Linked DNA regions of Danio rerio. Each later gene encodes a partner of the first gene's protein in a complex. Links are inferred from orthologs where the notes say so. Each region holds a gene or a part of one and is shown in the gene's direction. Other genes may lie near its edges.

Region 1 (4,106 bases):
GAAGTTGATTAACAGGTTTTATGCAAAAAAAAAAAATTTTAAACATATTTATCTGATGCATTTTACAGCAGTTTAATTCAGTTGATGTGTTTATCCCTAACAACAAAAAGGGTAGTCAATTTGAACAGTGCACAAGGGTTAAGATTTTACAACTATCTTGGCTTCTGTATTGGAAATTATTACTGGCTAAATGACTTCAGATTCTGTGGGATCAGTGTGATGTGGATTTTTAATTTTTTCAGTAACAACTGTTGTCCTTTTGCAGGTACTGAAGAGACAGGGCTATGATGAAGGCTGTGACATTTGGAGTCTCGGCGTATTACTATACACTATGATTGCTGGGTGAGAAGATGCTCATTCACTTCCATTTTTGTAAATATCTTTGCAACACATCCACAACCACTTTCTTTTCGGTTGTTACTTGTTCCAGGTTTACGCCATTTGCCAATGGACCAGAAGACACTCCAGAAGAGATCCTGAGCCGGATAGGGAGTGGACGCTTTACTCTGACGGGTGGCAACTGGGACGCAGTGTCTGATGCTGCCAAAGTAGGCCAATCCCCATTCATCCAGACTGCTTTGAAGGGAGGTGTTTTCTCACACACATGCTTTTCTCTACAGGATTTGGTCTCAAAGATGCTCCATGTGGACCCTCACCAGCGGCTCACAGCCAGGCAGGTGCTGAAACATCCATGGATCGTTCAGAGAGACAAACTTCCCAACAGCCAGCTACAACATCAGGATGCTAAGCTTGTCAAGGTATCCCCGCCTTGAGGATTTTGCACTATTTATATGCAGCATGCATGCCCGGTTCCAGAAAGAAATCAGTTTTTGAGGGTGCTTCTAAACTTAGGGTAGAGTGCTCTAGAAAACTGTAATTATGTAAGGGCCAAGCATGGAAGGTTGATGGTAAAATATTCTATTTAAGGATTACAGTGCAGCCCTAAAATACTGATTAATTGTCATTTTATGACAAAGGATTTACATTACATAGGTTTACTTTCTAAAAGAAGCAGCTTTTTTAAACAAATCATTTGAATGAATGATTCATTGAATCTCTTGGTAAAGGGATAGTTCACTCAAAAATGAACATTTACTTAACATTTATTAACACTCAAGTTGTTCCAAATCTTTGAGTGTCTTTTTTTCTGTTGAACAAAAGAAGATATTTTGAAGTAAGTTGTAAACCTGTAACCATTCACTTCTATTAAAGGAAAAACAAATACTGTTGAAGTCAGTGGTTACAGGTTTTCAGATTTCTTTAAAAAAATGTTTTGTGTTTTTTTAAGATTGCGTAATTCACTCTGACCGAATCCCTCCTCCAGATTCCCTTTAGACTTTAAGAGCTGTTTGTAATGTGGCTGGCAGTATAAATGTCCATGGAGAGAGACAAAGTTTCTGAGGCACAAAAAAAAAAAAAACTCAAAAAGGTTTGAAACAAGTCAAGGATGATGGCGATTTTCGGGGGAACCATCTTAAGACAGGGACTTTTCTTGATCTATGGGCAGTTATGTGAATAACGACACCATAAATAACTTACGTTACTAACAGCGATACTTTTTTCCAGTAATGAGTAATCAAATGAACTACTGTTTCTCCCGTTATAACGCTGTTACCGTTACTGACAATAAAATGTCCGTTACCATAGTTTTCATGCGAGCAGCGTCTCTCAGCCAGCCATAGGACCTCTCTTTTTCTGCGCGGTGTGTCTGTGTGTGTGTTCAGGGCTGGGGCGAGGCACATAACCAACTGGTGATGATGATAAATGTGTCTGAGAACCTGAATATTGGCTAAGATAGAGTACATTTGCATTGTTTGTCAGTCAGAGACAGAGTCGTGCTGGTGTTCACACACAAACACACGCAGTCAGTCGCACACATCAATGACCAGGAGTCAGAACAATGGTAAATCCAGCAAGTTTAAAGGTAACGTTTGCAAACTAGATATATAAACACCACTTTTCCCTCGTTGAGGTGAAAGGCAGGAATGTTTATGTATCATGCAACTTATGCCCAGAAAAATATAGTCTCTCTGCATCGGTGACAAGTAATTCTAATCTAATGAAGCACCTCACAGCGTCACATGCTGCCACAAAATTAGATAATGTGAACTCTGCTACCAAAGGAGGAGATGAAGCCGTGACGTCAAAACAAATAAAACTTAAAATTCTCCACCGTAAACACTTATTACTCAGACAGAATTTAACAAAATAATATCTAGTGTAGATTAGTGAACAGTGTTTGGTAAGAGTTTAATTTGATGGTCTCTATTGCACATTTTGTTGACTAAAAGTTGCATTGCAACTACAAGCCAACTAATTATCATTTGAGTATTAGTAGACTGTCTGCTTAATATCTGCTGATACTGCTCCTTCAACAGACATTCAACTGACTATAAAAAACTTTGCAAGTACGTCAACTTACACTGACACTAACCCTAACCCCAACCTAACAGTCTACTTATAGTCTAATGAAAATTAGTTGGTATGTAGATGCAATGTTATTTAAAAATCCACAAAAATGTGTTAAAGGGACCATTAAAATAAAGTGATACCCAATGTTTTATTTTTATTTTATAGTCATTTGAAAAAATTGACTTTTTAAAGTAACACAATAGTTACTTCCTCTGGTAATTAGTTACTGTTATAATTATGTAACTCGGTTACTAACTATTTGTGAGAAGTAGTAACTATAACTAATTAATATTTAAAATGAATGTTCCCAACACTGCCTACAAGCAGTTATTATTTATTCAATCCTGAAAGGCTTAAACCAGCTAATGTACCGACACAACCTTTATTTATTTTGTTGCTAAATAAAAAAGCGGCCAAAAAAAATCACAAACCCTTGTTATAATCTTTTTGTTTACACTGTACATTAAATGTAATATTTACATTGTATCAACACTTTGAGATGTTTCAGTCACATAAAACTTTTCATACAAAAACAAATAATGTATAAAATGTAAAAACACCTCTGATTGGCCGCTTTGCTCAAAAGTACAGAAGATATGTTTGTGATTGGCTACTTTGCTCAGCACGTTCGTTGCAAACACAAATATAATTGAGCCTTTACTGCTTTCGCATTTTATAGTGACTTGTTTTTTTTACCATAAATGATGGTGTATTATTTGATTACTCTCTCTGCACAGGGTGCGATGGCCGCGACATACTCGGCACTGAAGAGTTCCCAACCACCTCCTGAGCTGAAGCCAATCGAGTCCTCATTCTTAGCTCAGAGACGGGTGAAAAAGCTCCCTTCCACCTCTCTGTAGAGAAGAGGAGAAGTATTCCTGACTGAATGCAGTTGTGGACCGGATGGATGGACAGACGGACGGACAGATGGATGGATGAAAAAAACCACACTGAAGCTCTACAGACTAAAGACGGTCACTTGAACCTGCCCATGACATCAGCACAGGAGGGAAGCTGTCAAGCACACTAGGCAAGGGAGCTGATTGGCTGATGAAGTTTGAGGGGCGTGGTCAGTGAGGGTTCCAGACTCCCTTAGGAGTAAATGTGTTTGTATTTGTTTAGTTTTTTGTGCGTCCAATTTCAAAGAAGCAGGTAAAGGATTCTGTTAAAAAGTAGATGATATTCCCAGTGCATTTATGTCTTGGTACTGTAATTGCTAAATATCAACACTTTTTTTTTCATCCTCAGTTTTTTGTTTGATTTGCTTATATTTTTTTTATCTCTGTATTTTGTTCGATCTGGATTGTCATGTTGTTTTGTGTACAATATGTCTTTTTTGAAAGCCTTTCAACTTTTTTTTTTGTTTTTTTTGTCAGTAGTTCACTTTTGTAGGCCCTCTTTCTGAAAGCTCGGGAGAAATAAAGATGTTCCAGTATAAGATTTCACCCAGATGAATGACTAAAGTAAAAAATATCTTCCATGAGGATCCGGTGAGAATGTTCACACGACTATCATACTGGAAGTGCTCTCTGCATGGATTTGTACAATGCTGTCTTGTTTTCCCCCAACTCAGCACTTTCGTTTCGTGAACGTATCAGCACTGGTGAAGACTGTTCAGAAAATGTCTCCTTTTGTGTTTATTAAAGCAAACAAGAAAAAAAGTCTGAATGTGAGATGACATCTAAAGCTTCTGG
Region 2 (5,639 bases), on another chromosome or scaffold:
GTCTGGCCAATTCCATAACAGAAAAGGATCGTCTGATTAATATGCCACACCACTCACTTCCTCTCAAACACACCATTGTCGTCCACCGAGACGCTTGACAACAAAACACTTGTGTGCGATTATGGGCAACAGAACTTCGGGAAAGATCAAAAGCAGAACAGAAAGAGATAAAAAAAAAAAAACAACATATACATGCTTATGGCCATAAAACCAGATTACGGTATAGAAAAGAGGATTACTTCGAAACATCACAATACAAGGCTTAAGCTTCTGAAATTGAAAAACAACAATAAACTGATCATTAAATTGAACTTATTATACAGAAACACATTTTTCGACTCTACAAAAAGTTATGTTTTGCATATCAGAATAGAAAGGGAAAAATATATAAAAGTATATGAAGAGTTTATGAAGAGTACATTAAAATATAAAAAGTTCATTAGCAAAAATAGAAAAGTATTTTTCATAAATATAAAAGATGATTTTTGAAAATTAATAAAAACAGAGGTATCTGTTTTTTTTTTTTTTGGCAAATTAACTCTTTATATTTACTTATAACCTAAAGTGAGAGGACAAGACAAACTTTATGTTTAGATAAAATGATTTTATTTGGAAAACACAATTAAAGGACAATGAATCATCAAAAAAGGGTTGTTCAAACAATAAGAACACTTAATACGATATTTATAAAACTGAAAAACAACAAGCTGCTAAACACATTAATCATAAAACAAAGCTTTTTACTATTAAAGAATTAAATTGTTAAAATAGAAAAGGAAAACAACTAAACATTTGAAGAATCCATTTGCAAAAACCTTTGCAACAAAAAAATGAATAAAAACTGAGTTCTGTTTTTGCATATAAACTCGTATAGCTTGCTTATGGCCTGAAAAAAAATTTATGTATTGAGAACAGACTGAAAGGACTGAATAAAACATTAAATAAAAGAATAAACAGCCTGATCTCACGAGAAAACGTAAGTATTTTAGGTTTTGTGAGTTTAGTGGCTAATTCAAACGGATTCGTACGAGTTCAGTAATACGAAATTGTGTGATTTTAAAAAGGAGGCGTGGCACCCAACCCCTAAACCCAACCTTCATTGTGCGATGAGCAAATCATATGAAATTGTACAAATTAGATTCAAAAATCAAAAAGTTATGAATTGCCATGAGATTGTGTTGGAATAAACCTGTTTGGAAACAGTAAGATTTGTTAACATTTTATGTGTGCTAAGAATTATTATTTAGAACTTTATTTTTTTATCGAAGTATCCCCATATGTAAAATATATCACATTTTCTACAATACATGAAGACAAGAAAATTCATCACTAATAATTGTACGAAATCCTTATTAGTGATTGTGTACCAATAGCTGATCATAACAGAACAGCAAATCATCATATTATATCATATTTCCAAAGGATCATGTGACACTAAAGACAAGTAATGATGATGGAAAGTCAGCTTTGAATCACAGGAATAAATCTAATTTACAACTACAATCAATAAGGAAACAGTTTTTTTTTAATTGTAATATTATTTCACAATTATTACTGTGTTTTCCATCAAATAAATGCAGCCTTTGTGCACAGAATTGGCTACTTTAAATGATTACTTTGAAATGAAAATCATGAAAGGACAATAAAATACTGATAAAACAATAAATACACTTAATATAAATTCTAATATTAAGCTAAAATGGCATAAAACTAATTAATTATTACAGTAAAAGTTTATGCATGTTATAGCAGAAGTCGCAAGTGTAACACTATGAGTGTGTGTGTGTGTGTGAATATATTCACCCCTTTGTTCTGGACTTTAAATGTGTGTCTAGTGGAGTGAGAACAAGTTAAGAAGCTGATTGGTCAGATCCAGTGATTGACAGCACAGAATCTCAAATCTCCAAGCTCCTCCTTTTCAGACCTATAAATGGACTCTCATCTCCCTCTGCAGAATCGCCTCTTTCTGACAAACTCTCTGCTGGTAAGTCTAGTACGTTTTTATTTATCATTCCAATGTTTTTAAAGCTTATTTTGCTCCAAGCTTTTCCAAACTGAGGATGAAATTGCAAAAAAAAAAAAAAAAAAAACTACATAATGACTAGAAATGTGTTTGCAAAAGTGAAAGACAGAACGAAACTTAATGGTCTATAAAATTGCTCCGACACTTAAACTTGTTTGCAGACATTTGAGGGAAAAAGTTAAACAGCTTGAAATTGCTATCAAGCATTTTTCACATTTTTAGTAATTATTCCAGGAAACGTTGAGCGTCGCTGCAGCACATTAAGATGTCAGACTTAGAGAACTGCCTGGGAACCATCATTGAAGTCTTCCACAAATACTCGTCGAAAGAAGGAGACAAGTACAAATTAAAAAAGAGTGAACTCAAGGAGCTGCTCACGCATGAGTTTCCAACTCTCACTGAGGTAATTTTTTTTGTTTTTGATTCGAAAACTTGGGAATATGTGTTTTATAATAAAGTGATTGTCAGAACTGTGTAAAAAAATCTTTGTTTGCTAGTTATTGTGTTAAAAAGTGTAAAATTTATACTAATTTATTATGATCATGCCTAATGAACAACTCTGGAATTAATGTTTCTTTACAAAGTCGACCAGAAGGTAACAAATTACTGGTGTCAAATTGTAAAATTTATGGAAAGAAAATCACGTAATGACAATAATGAACTGATAATGTTCAAGTTATGTAGATTTAATGGTTGTGTTTTTTATTTTTTTTATATATATAAAAAGATATACCGAAGAATGTTGGGAGAAAAATGCTATTGACTTTCATAGTATGTTTTGTTCCTACTATCGATGTTAATGGCAATATTCCAACATTTTTCAAATTATCTTTAAGTTTCAGACTACTGTCAAGCTGTCAAACTATTCTTCAAGCTGTCAAACTATTTTTTAAGTTGTCAAACTATTCTTTAATTTGCCAAACTACTCTTCAAACTAACTTATAGTGTTCAACAGAAGACAAAAACTCATAAAAGTTTAGAACCACGCGAGTTAAATTGACATTTTTGGGTGATGTGTCCCTTTGAATATCCACTCATGCTTGATTTTTCAACTTTTATTAAGGTAAAGATATTTTTCACTGTACACTTTTTAAAAATTGTGTAAATAGAAGAAAAATGGGTGTCAAAATATTACATATTGACAGTTTACAACAGAAAAAAGTACACACATCTATACTTAAAGGGATATTTCACCCCCCCAAAAAATAATTTACTCTCTATTTACTCACCCTCAAGTTGTTCCAGACCTTTTATGAGACTCTTTATTCTGATGAACACAAAAGAAGACATCGTGAAGAATGCTGAAAACCTGTAACCATTGACTTCCACAGAATTTGCTTTTCCTACTATGGAAATCAATGGTTACGACTTTACAGTTTTCTTCAAAATACTTTTGTGTTTAATAGAGGAAAGAAACTCTAACCCTTAATTTGTGGGTGAAATATTCCTTTATTGAAAAATGACCTACAATTAATGTTTCTGTACAAGGTAGACAAATTATGAAAGCGAAACAAGATGAAGTACTGTACAAAGAATATTCAAGGAATGTTTTGGCAAATTTCGGAAGCACTAAATTAATCGAGTGTCTGCGTAGTTTCAGACTTGTATTGAGGTCAACGTTTTTGTTTTTTCACACTACACTGTCTTGAAATATTAGGAATGCTTGATTAGTTATCACAGCTTTATCCCAGCATTGTGTCAGTTGTGAAAAAATGATTTCTACTAGGCATAGGACAATAACTGGTTTGCCTTGGTTTGAAAAAGTCAAGGTTTTAAAACCGCTAAGATTTTCTGTTATACCGTTCCTAAGGTATATGTCAGGGTTGTTTAGTGTATTTTTTCTGTGTTTTTTAAAATTGAAGACTGCAGAAGTCAATGATTTATTTGAACTATTTAGCCTGACTTTTGCTTTTCCAAAATATTATAAATGTTTCCTAAAATAAAATATACTGTGTTCAGATTTTTAGTTTTACCCAAACATTTAAAATTAACTTATTTTAGAGCAGTTATCACAATACTGTGATACTGTAAAACCCTGGTATTTTTATCCTGTCAGAAACTTATACCGCCCCATGCCTAATATCTACACAGATTTATTGTGTTTGTGAATCTTTCCATGGTACTTAAATTTAGTGTATTTGTGGGTAATAAATGAGACCTTACAATGAATGTTTTCTCTCATAAAAAAACAGAAAGCCAAACTTTAAGAATTTTAAAATGAACATACAATAATAAAATATACAATAATAAACTCATGAAGTAAAGTGTGGGCGAACTGATAAAACATTACTTTTTTTTACTAAAACCTTTCTTTTTCCCAAACTATACTTAGTTTTGAAAAATTAGCAGCGCCTTGTTTGTAATTATGCCAAGTTGTTTGTCAGTTGGTTTGAAATTATGTGAATTGGTTTGTAATTATGCTGAAATTGTGTCAATTGCAAGTGTCTACAAACATTTGTTGTGTTTGTGACTGTTTCCAATGTACACAAATCTGGTCTGATCATGCTTAATGAACATTGAGGGTTTCTTCACATGATAAATACACAAGGTGAACAAATGTCAGAAAGTCAAAGTATTTTAAAATAAATAAAAAAAATATATATAAGAGTGAAATTGAGTGTGGACGAATGAAACATGGATCTAGGAGCTGCATAGCACACACATGTATATCTGACTTTTAATAAAGTATTTTTTTTCACACACATCTTCCTAAAAATTTTCAATCAAAGCTTTATTTTAGAATTAATAATAATAATAATAATAATACCTTTTATTTATAGGCACCTCTCAAAGCACTCAAGGACACCTTACAGTATATCGCAAGCATGTAATAAAAATATAAGCTGTAAAAAGCAATAGACAGGATAATAAAACAGCAGAACATTAAAAGCTATCCTAAACAAAAAAAGTTTATCTGAAATTAAAGATTGGAAATAGTATCCACTTGGCAAATGTGCAAAGGCAGAGAGTTACATAACTTTGAGAGAAGCTACGACTTTTTTAGCTAAGCCGAATTAGCCAAATTCGTGATTCTGAAGGTTACTCTCTTTTTGTCTCCCCTAGCAAGTGAAAGACCAAGCTACAATGGACAGTTTGATGGAAAGTTTGGACACCGATGGCGACTCGGAGTGTGATTTCCAGGAGTTCATGACCTTCGTCACCATGGTTACCATCTGTTGCCATGAGTTTTTCGAACACCATGAAGACGAATGAGTCTAAATAAAAGAAAGTAGTTTTCGTAGTTTAATGAGTCTCAATACATTTCTTCAGTAAACTTTACTTCGTTCTCATCGCATTAGGATTGTTTTATTGTTGTTGTTTGTTTGGACAGAATGTACATGCAGCTTGTCTGACAATTTAGCTTATTTCTGCTAGACTCGAAAATCAGTTCGTAATTTATTACAAAGCATGCTTCTATTATTTTGGCTAGACATTTGTTTCAAGACATGGCCATCATAAATCTCATCGAGTGGAATGCGGATCCAGGTGTTTTACTCTTGTCATTTCAATTCCAGGCTGATTGTGAAATGTTTTTTTTCTTTTGATTAGCTTCAGACTATTAGGCTGCTATTGACTTTTGTCAGATTGTTCCGGGGCCTTAGACAAATCACACTGT
Region 3 (5,590 bases), on another chromosome or scaffold:
AATACTCATATATTGTTCGTTTTACATAATGTATAGTAGGCTAATGTGATTTTGGAAGCCGCGTTCAAGGCACATGTAAAAGGCATGAATGGAGCAATTTACTTACAATTTACTACATATACAATAGTTCAAATTTGAAGTGGATCCAGATCAAACAATAGACTCTTTTATCAAGACTGACTATGTTCACATGGACATCAGTAATCCAATTATTTACCTTAATCTGAATAAGCAATAATATGATTAAGGTGTTTACACGAGTTACTTTGTGAATGTTCCTTTTATGATCCTGTCTTACATGTTACAGCACAAAGATCGATAAACGTTGTTGCATCATCATGCTATCCACGTTTCCTCTGGAGTTTCATGTAATTTCAGATGTTTCATTTTTAATATTTCGGCTTTTACTGTAGTTAGGCAGTTTCAGTTTCATTCAGAAACATTTCATTCATGCCCCCGGTGACAAACTGAGGTATTGGATGTGTTTATGAATTAAAGAATGTTGGAAGTTTTAATGAAATTGGATACCGCATGCCGAATGAGAGAAAAAAAAACCTTTGCATTTCGTGGGATGTGTGTCTGTAGTCCTTTATTGACTCAATAGATGTGGAGAATAGTGTCATACAGCTTTGTGTGTATAGAATATACTGCCGAAAAACATGGTGAAAAATCCTCTGTTTACATGGTAAACTCTTAATCAGAGTTTTGTCTTAATCATATCAAAATTTGATTACTGGTGGCCATGTAAAGGAACTCAGTGTTATAATGTCTTTAATGGTCATCAGCATCTTAAATACTTGAAAGTTTTTAATATTTTAATAAAAAAAGCATATTAACATTTATATTTATTTATGTATGTTTTCTATCATCTTTGCATCAAATGATAAAATAGGAATTACCGCTTATGCAGATGTTTGAAATGCAGTGTATAGTGTATAGGCAGAACAGCAAATTTGATGCTTTCTCTTCTGTCTGTCATTATCACATAGTTTTTTTTTCTATTTTCTGAAAGTCTTGAAAACATCATTGCCAATTTTTATATTATTTTAGCAAATAGGATTGTATATATAAAAAAATTGTTGTACACTCCCATTCACTGTGCTCTAAGTTTATCCACTAAGACTTCTGCTACTGAGAAACTCGAAAATCTGAAAAGGGTTCATAGTTTTAGGACAATTTTGAAATTGTTTTGATTCACTTTAAATGTTGACTGTATAATTTAAATGAACCCTCATTCCAGTAAGAATCTTCAAGAGGATAAAACCAAGAATTTAGTAAATAATCTTCAAATAGACAATAGACAAATGGAAATTCTATTTGTAATGAATCATGATTTATTTTGGTAAGAGTTTGGAAAATAAGAAATTTTTTCGGACATCAAACATGATAGGCAGGTCGAACATGACTGACAAGGATTCATGTGGGATGAACGCTTACGCCAGGCTAAATTTCTTCACAAAGCAACAGTCTGGGCAAACAGACAAAACTGGTTGTGCAACAAATTGAGGAACGAATATTTATCTTTTTAAACAGCAAGTTTCACAAAAAAAAAAACCAAAAATCTTTCATGATTTTCAGCTCACACCTTGAATCTGGATATGTTTTCAATTAATGTCATTAACCAGTTTTAGATGCTGATAATAGCCTTGTATAAAGTCCAGGTGCGATTATTCATGGAGTATGTTTAAATTTATTTACTTGGAGGGCCTTTGAAGATTTATATGGGGAGAGACATTTAATCAAGAGTTTCCAGAAATCGGCTTAGGTTCGTAAATATGATTTCTTTCGTGACGGGCTTTAGGACCTGGTGACGTGCGCAGTGAGGATTGCCTTCAGGAGTCCGAAGGGAAATAATGCGCATGCGCTCCAGTGACATTCGCTCCATCCCGAGTCGCGAGCAGGCAGAACAGGATGAAATGTATCAAAACAGACGTCAAACGCTGTACCTGTTTAAAGGAGCCGTGAACCAGGAGGAAACGCTCGCTAACACTGCCTGTGTGCCAAAGAAAACTGCTGGAATGGTACTTTAAGTGTTTAAGAAACCGCTAAACTATTTTGAAAACAACTTCAGACTTGAAGAAGTGTATTTAAAGAGGTTTATGAAATGAAAAGGCAAGCAGATGCGCGCAACCGAGAATATTAAAGCGCGAGGATGAGGAAAACAATACGGGCTAATTAAGGAAGCGGTCGGAGTGGGAATTTCATTTAGTGAAGAGCCGGACAATGGCTTGATTTTGTTTTTGTTGAGCTTTTTCTTGGATCTTTTGGGGCTGCGAAGACGCTGCATTCATGACTGAGCGGACGGAGAAGAAAGTTTACCGCGTGGGATATTTCATTTTATGAAAGTGTTTCGTTTTGTCGTCTGTCAGCGGAGCCACCTGTTTCTGTGCGGATTTTATTGATTCATCATGTCCAAAGTGGTACAGAAGAAGAATCACTGGACCACCAAAGTTAACGAGTGCTCGGTCTCCAAGGACGCCCGTGGCGAGCTGAACGTGCAGCTGCTCGGTGGCGCGGAGAACGGAGAGTTCGCCTATATCGGACACGTTAACGAGACCGCCGTACAGTATAGAAATGGGAAAGTGTCCGAGGGGGAATTACTGCTGGAAGTGGAGACGCTTTCTGTCTCTGGATTGCCGCTGTATGATGTGCTGACAGTGATCAAGAACTGCAAAGGACCTATAAGGTTAAAAACTGTGAGGCAAGGTAAGCAGAGCGATTCCCCTTCACTTTTGTTTGGTTTGTGTGATGCATTTCATGTAAACAAGCCATTGAGGAACTGTTTCCTAAAATTAGCCGGGTATTATTTATTTATTTATTTATTTATTTATTTATTTATTTATTTATTTATTTTCACATGTTCACTAAATATAGGCTTGGCGACTTGGTTTGTTGGCTAATAGGCCTGTATTTATAAAAATATTTATTCATGTTTGCATGTGACTGCATAGGGCTAGTGGTTGTTAAGAAGCATGCTTTTATTTTAAAATTTCTTAATTTGTGTTATTTCATAATGTGTTTTCCTTTACTTTTATTACTTTTACTTTTATAACTACATTTTTATTTAGTTTATCTTTTAATTCTGTATTTTTATTTGTTATGTTAGTGGGGGTGATAGGAGGTGTAGTTGTTATTATTTTTCATGTCCAATAACATAATATGATATGAATAGATAAACAATTATTTGTGATAAATATTTTAGTTCTTTTGATCAATACAGTAAGAAAAGTATGTATATTTTATTTATTGTTTTATTTCTAATTTGCAAACTGTACATAATCATTACCACACCAACATAATATATGCTAAAATTATTATTTGTGTCTGTATAAATAATAATTTTTTTTCTATTGTTTATTTATTGCAACAAATACAGTAAGCTGAGTTATTACTACAGTAAGTGATTTATTATAATAAATATCTGATTTTCTCATTTTACCTAATTATAAATATTTTATTTTTTATTCACTATAGATTATTTATTTATTTGTTTATTCATTTGTTGAAACATGGTGGACTTGCAGTAGTTTCTGCATTTTTTTCATTTGTTTTTAAAATGTGGCATTACTTATGCATTTTTTCATACATTTGCAGCCTTGTTTTGCACTTCTTGTAAAGCATTTCGCACTTGATAATGAATGAATCTCTATTCAAGGGCATTGGATAACATTTCACCCCAGGTTACATTTAGCTGAACTGAAAAAAAAAAACTTTTGACAGAAGGTCAGATAATGTTGAACACTCTTTTGTACAGTCTTTGATACATTTTAAAGTACAATTTCCTAAATAAATTCACACGTAAAGCCGTTCTTCACATTTCTACACCCATTGGTGATGTATTCCGCTTTAATCCTTTATGAGAAGTTGACGAGTGAGCATAATTTGCAGGTAAAGGCACTACAGACCGTCCTTTGTGCTAAAGCAGTGGTGACTCCCCACAGGGCTCTGCCTCATCACATGGTTTGAGTTATGCTGCTTTCCCTCTCTCTATGCTTCTGCCTATTTCACCAAATGACTTCAGACAATATCAGGAAACCAGCCAATCAACTCGGACTGCATTCCCAGAGCACCACCGGGCCCAGATCCAGCTTTCTCCCTCACACACACACACATACTCCTCATATACATTCTGGTGTTGAGTTTCGCTGTTTATAATCTATCATGCTGTCTGGGAGTTTTCTGTTGTAACCAGCCTTAATTATGAAAATGTTTTTTTGGCAACACATGCCATCTGTGTTTCTGTGAGTTTGCGAAACAACAACGAAAAAACGTCTTTTATTTTTCACATCAGCACACAGATGATCTCAAACTCCCAGTGCTTTGGACTACAGTATGAATTATTGATATGAAATGCATTAAGCTCTGCTTGAAGTGGATTACGTGTGGTTCAAGAGTTTGTACGCTTTTGTTCATACAACAAGCACCTGTGGGTCTTCAAGGCAGTTGTATGGAGCTGTTTATTTGTGCAGACTGTTATTATTGTATAGTGTTTCTAATCACGAGCATGGCTTGTTCATAACCTTAGGCACAGTTAATGCAGCGCACAACAGATTCACTCATTAATCCTCATTGATTTTTACATTAAGATACACTCAGTCCTGTGGTGACCTCACTAACAGTCTGTGCCCTGGCAGCTCTCTCTCTGGAGGTAATATGTAATAAGAATACCTTTCAACGCTGTTGTATTGATTGATGGAATAAGCCTCTTATTCTTCAGCTGAGAAAACAGTTTTATTGGTAATGTCAGCAGAGTTGGACCACTTAGAGATGAAAGTTACAAGAGATGGCAGTTTTAGAAGTCTTAAAGTAAGGAAAATGTAAAAAGATTCATGGTCTGGGAAGTAATGCTCATTTTGCTAGTCTTGCCTGTTCATTTTTTTTCTGCAAAATATATTAAAATGCAATTACCCAACACCATAAAACTTGATAATTAAAAATTAATTTGAATTCAGAATAAATTAACAGAAAATGTAAAACTAATCAATCAAGTTAAACATATTAAAAAGTACAGAGAGTGTCACGGTGGCGGTGGGTAGCATGATTGCCTCACAGCAAGAAGGTCGCTGGTTCGAGCCCCGGCTAGGTCAGTTGGCGTTTCAGTGTCGAGTTTGCATGTTCTCTCCGTGTTGGCGTGGGTTTCCTCTGGGTGCTCCGGTTTCTCCTACAGTTTAAACACATGCAGTATAGGTAAATTGAGCAAGCTAAATTGGCCGTTGTGTATGTGTGTGAATGCAAGAGTGTATGGGTGTTTCCCAGTGTTGGGTTGCGGCTGCAAGGGCATCTACTGTGTAAAAAATATGTTGGATAAGTTGGCAGTTCATTCCGCTGTGGTGACCCCTAATTAATAAAAGGACTAAGCCGGAAAGAAAATGAATAATTAAATGAAAACAGGATCGCATTAAATATTGAAATATTGTGGAAAATATCAAACTTTAGACAATACCACTATATTATTATTCAAGGTGCAAGATTATTAGAAAAACTTTCTAGTGGTTGCACCACATGCCGTTTTGAAGTGTCATTATTTTTAGATAATGTCTGTCCAGACTGGCTGATGACTTGATATCATGATGCATCTCACAGTGGGACA

The links. Proteins that work in one complex are often made in the same cells at the same time.
Region 2: the proteins of rps6ka1 (region 1) and s100b are in contact, whole or in part, in a crystal structure (PDB 5CSJ), measured with the Homo sapiens proteins. The link is inferred for Danio rerio from reciprocal best matches to the Homo sapiens genes RPS6KA1 and S100B. Residues at the interface, in NP_002944.2 of Homo sapiens: Ala697, Met698, Ala699, Ala700, Thr701, Ser703; in NP_006263.1 of Homo sapiens: Ser42, His43, Phe44, Leu45, Glu46, Ile48, Val53, Val57, Ala84.
Region 3: the proteins of rps6ka1 (region 1) and magi1b are in contact, whole or in part, in a crystal structure (PDB 5N7F), measured with the Homo sapiens proteins. The link is inferred for Danio rerio from reciprocal best matches to the Homo sapiens genes RPS6KA1 and MAGI1. Residues at the interface, in NP_002944.2 of Homo sapiens: Pro731, Ser732, Thr733, Thr734, Leu735; in NP_001028229.1 of Homo sapiens: Arg480, Gly481, Phe482, Gly483, Phe484, Thr485, Val486, Val487, Gly488, Asp490, Lys499, Ser500, His532, Val536, Phe539, Gln540.

Annotation. Positions count from the first base shown.
Region 1 is NC_133192.1:28,645,203-28,649,308, forward strand, and holds part of rps6ka1 (ribosomal protein S6 kinase alpha-1), read left to right. Parts: intron 1-265; coding exon 266-342; intron 343-430; coding exon 431-548; intron 549-620; coding exon 621-758; intron 759-3,149; coding exon 3,150-3,272; 3' UTR 3,273-4,106. UniProt on the Homo sapiens protein: Serine/threonine-protein kinase that acts downstream of ERK (MAPK1/ERK2 and MAPK3/ERK1) signaling and mediates mitogenic and stress-induced activation of the transcription factors CREB1, ETV1/ER81 and NR4A1/NUR77, regulates translation through RPS6 and EIF4B phosphorylation, and mediates cellular proliferation, survival, and differentiation by modulating mTOR signaling and repressing pro-apoptotic function of BAD and DAPK1.
Region 2 is NC_133197.1:13,547,044-13,552,682, reverse strand, and holds the start of s100b (protein S100-B), read left to right. Parts: upstream 1-1,952; 5' UTR 1,953-1,984; intron 1,985-2,257; 5' UTR 2,258-2,288; coding exon 2,289-2,426; intron 2,427-5,086; coding exon 5,087-5,236; 3' UTR 5,237-5,639. UniProt on the Homo sapiens protein: Small zinc- and- and calcium-binding protein that is highly expressed in astrocytes and constitutes one of the most abundant soluble proteins in brain.
Region 3 is NC_133186.1:20,964,359-20,969,948, forward strand, and holds the start of magi1b (membrane-associated guanylate kinase, WW and PDZ domain-containing protein 1b), read left to right. Parts: upstream 1-1,903; 5' UTR 1,904-2,408; coding exon 2,409-2,706; intron 2,707-5,590. UniProt on the Homo sapiens protein: Plays a role in coupling actin fibers to cell junctions in endothelial cells, via its interaction with AMOTL2 and CDH5. May regulate acid-induced ASIC3 currents by modulating its expression at the cell surface.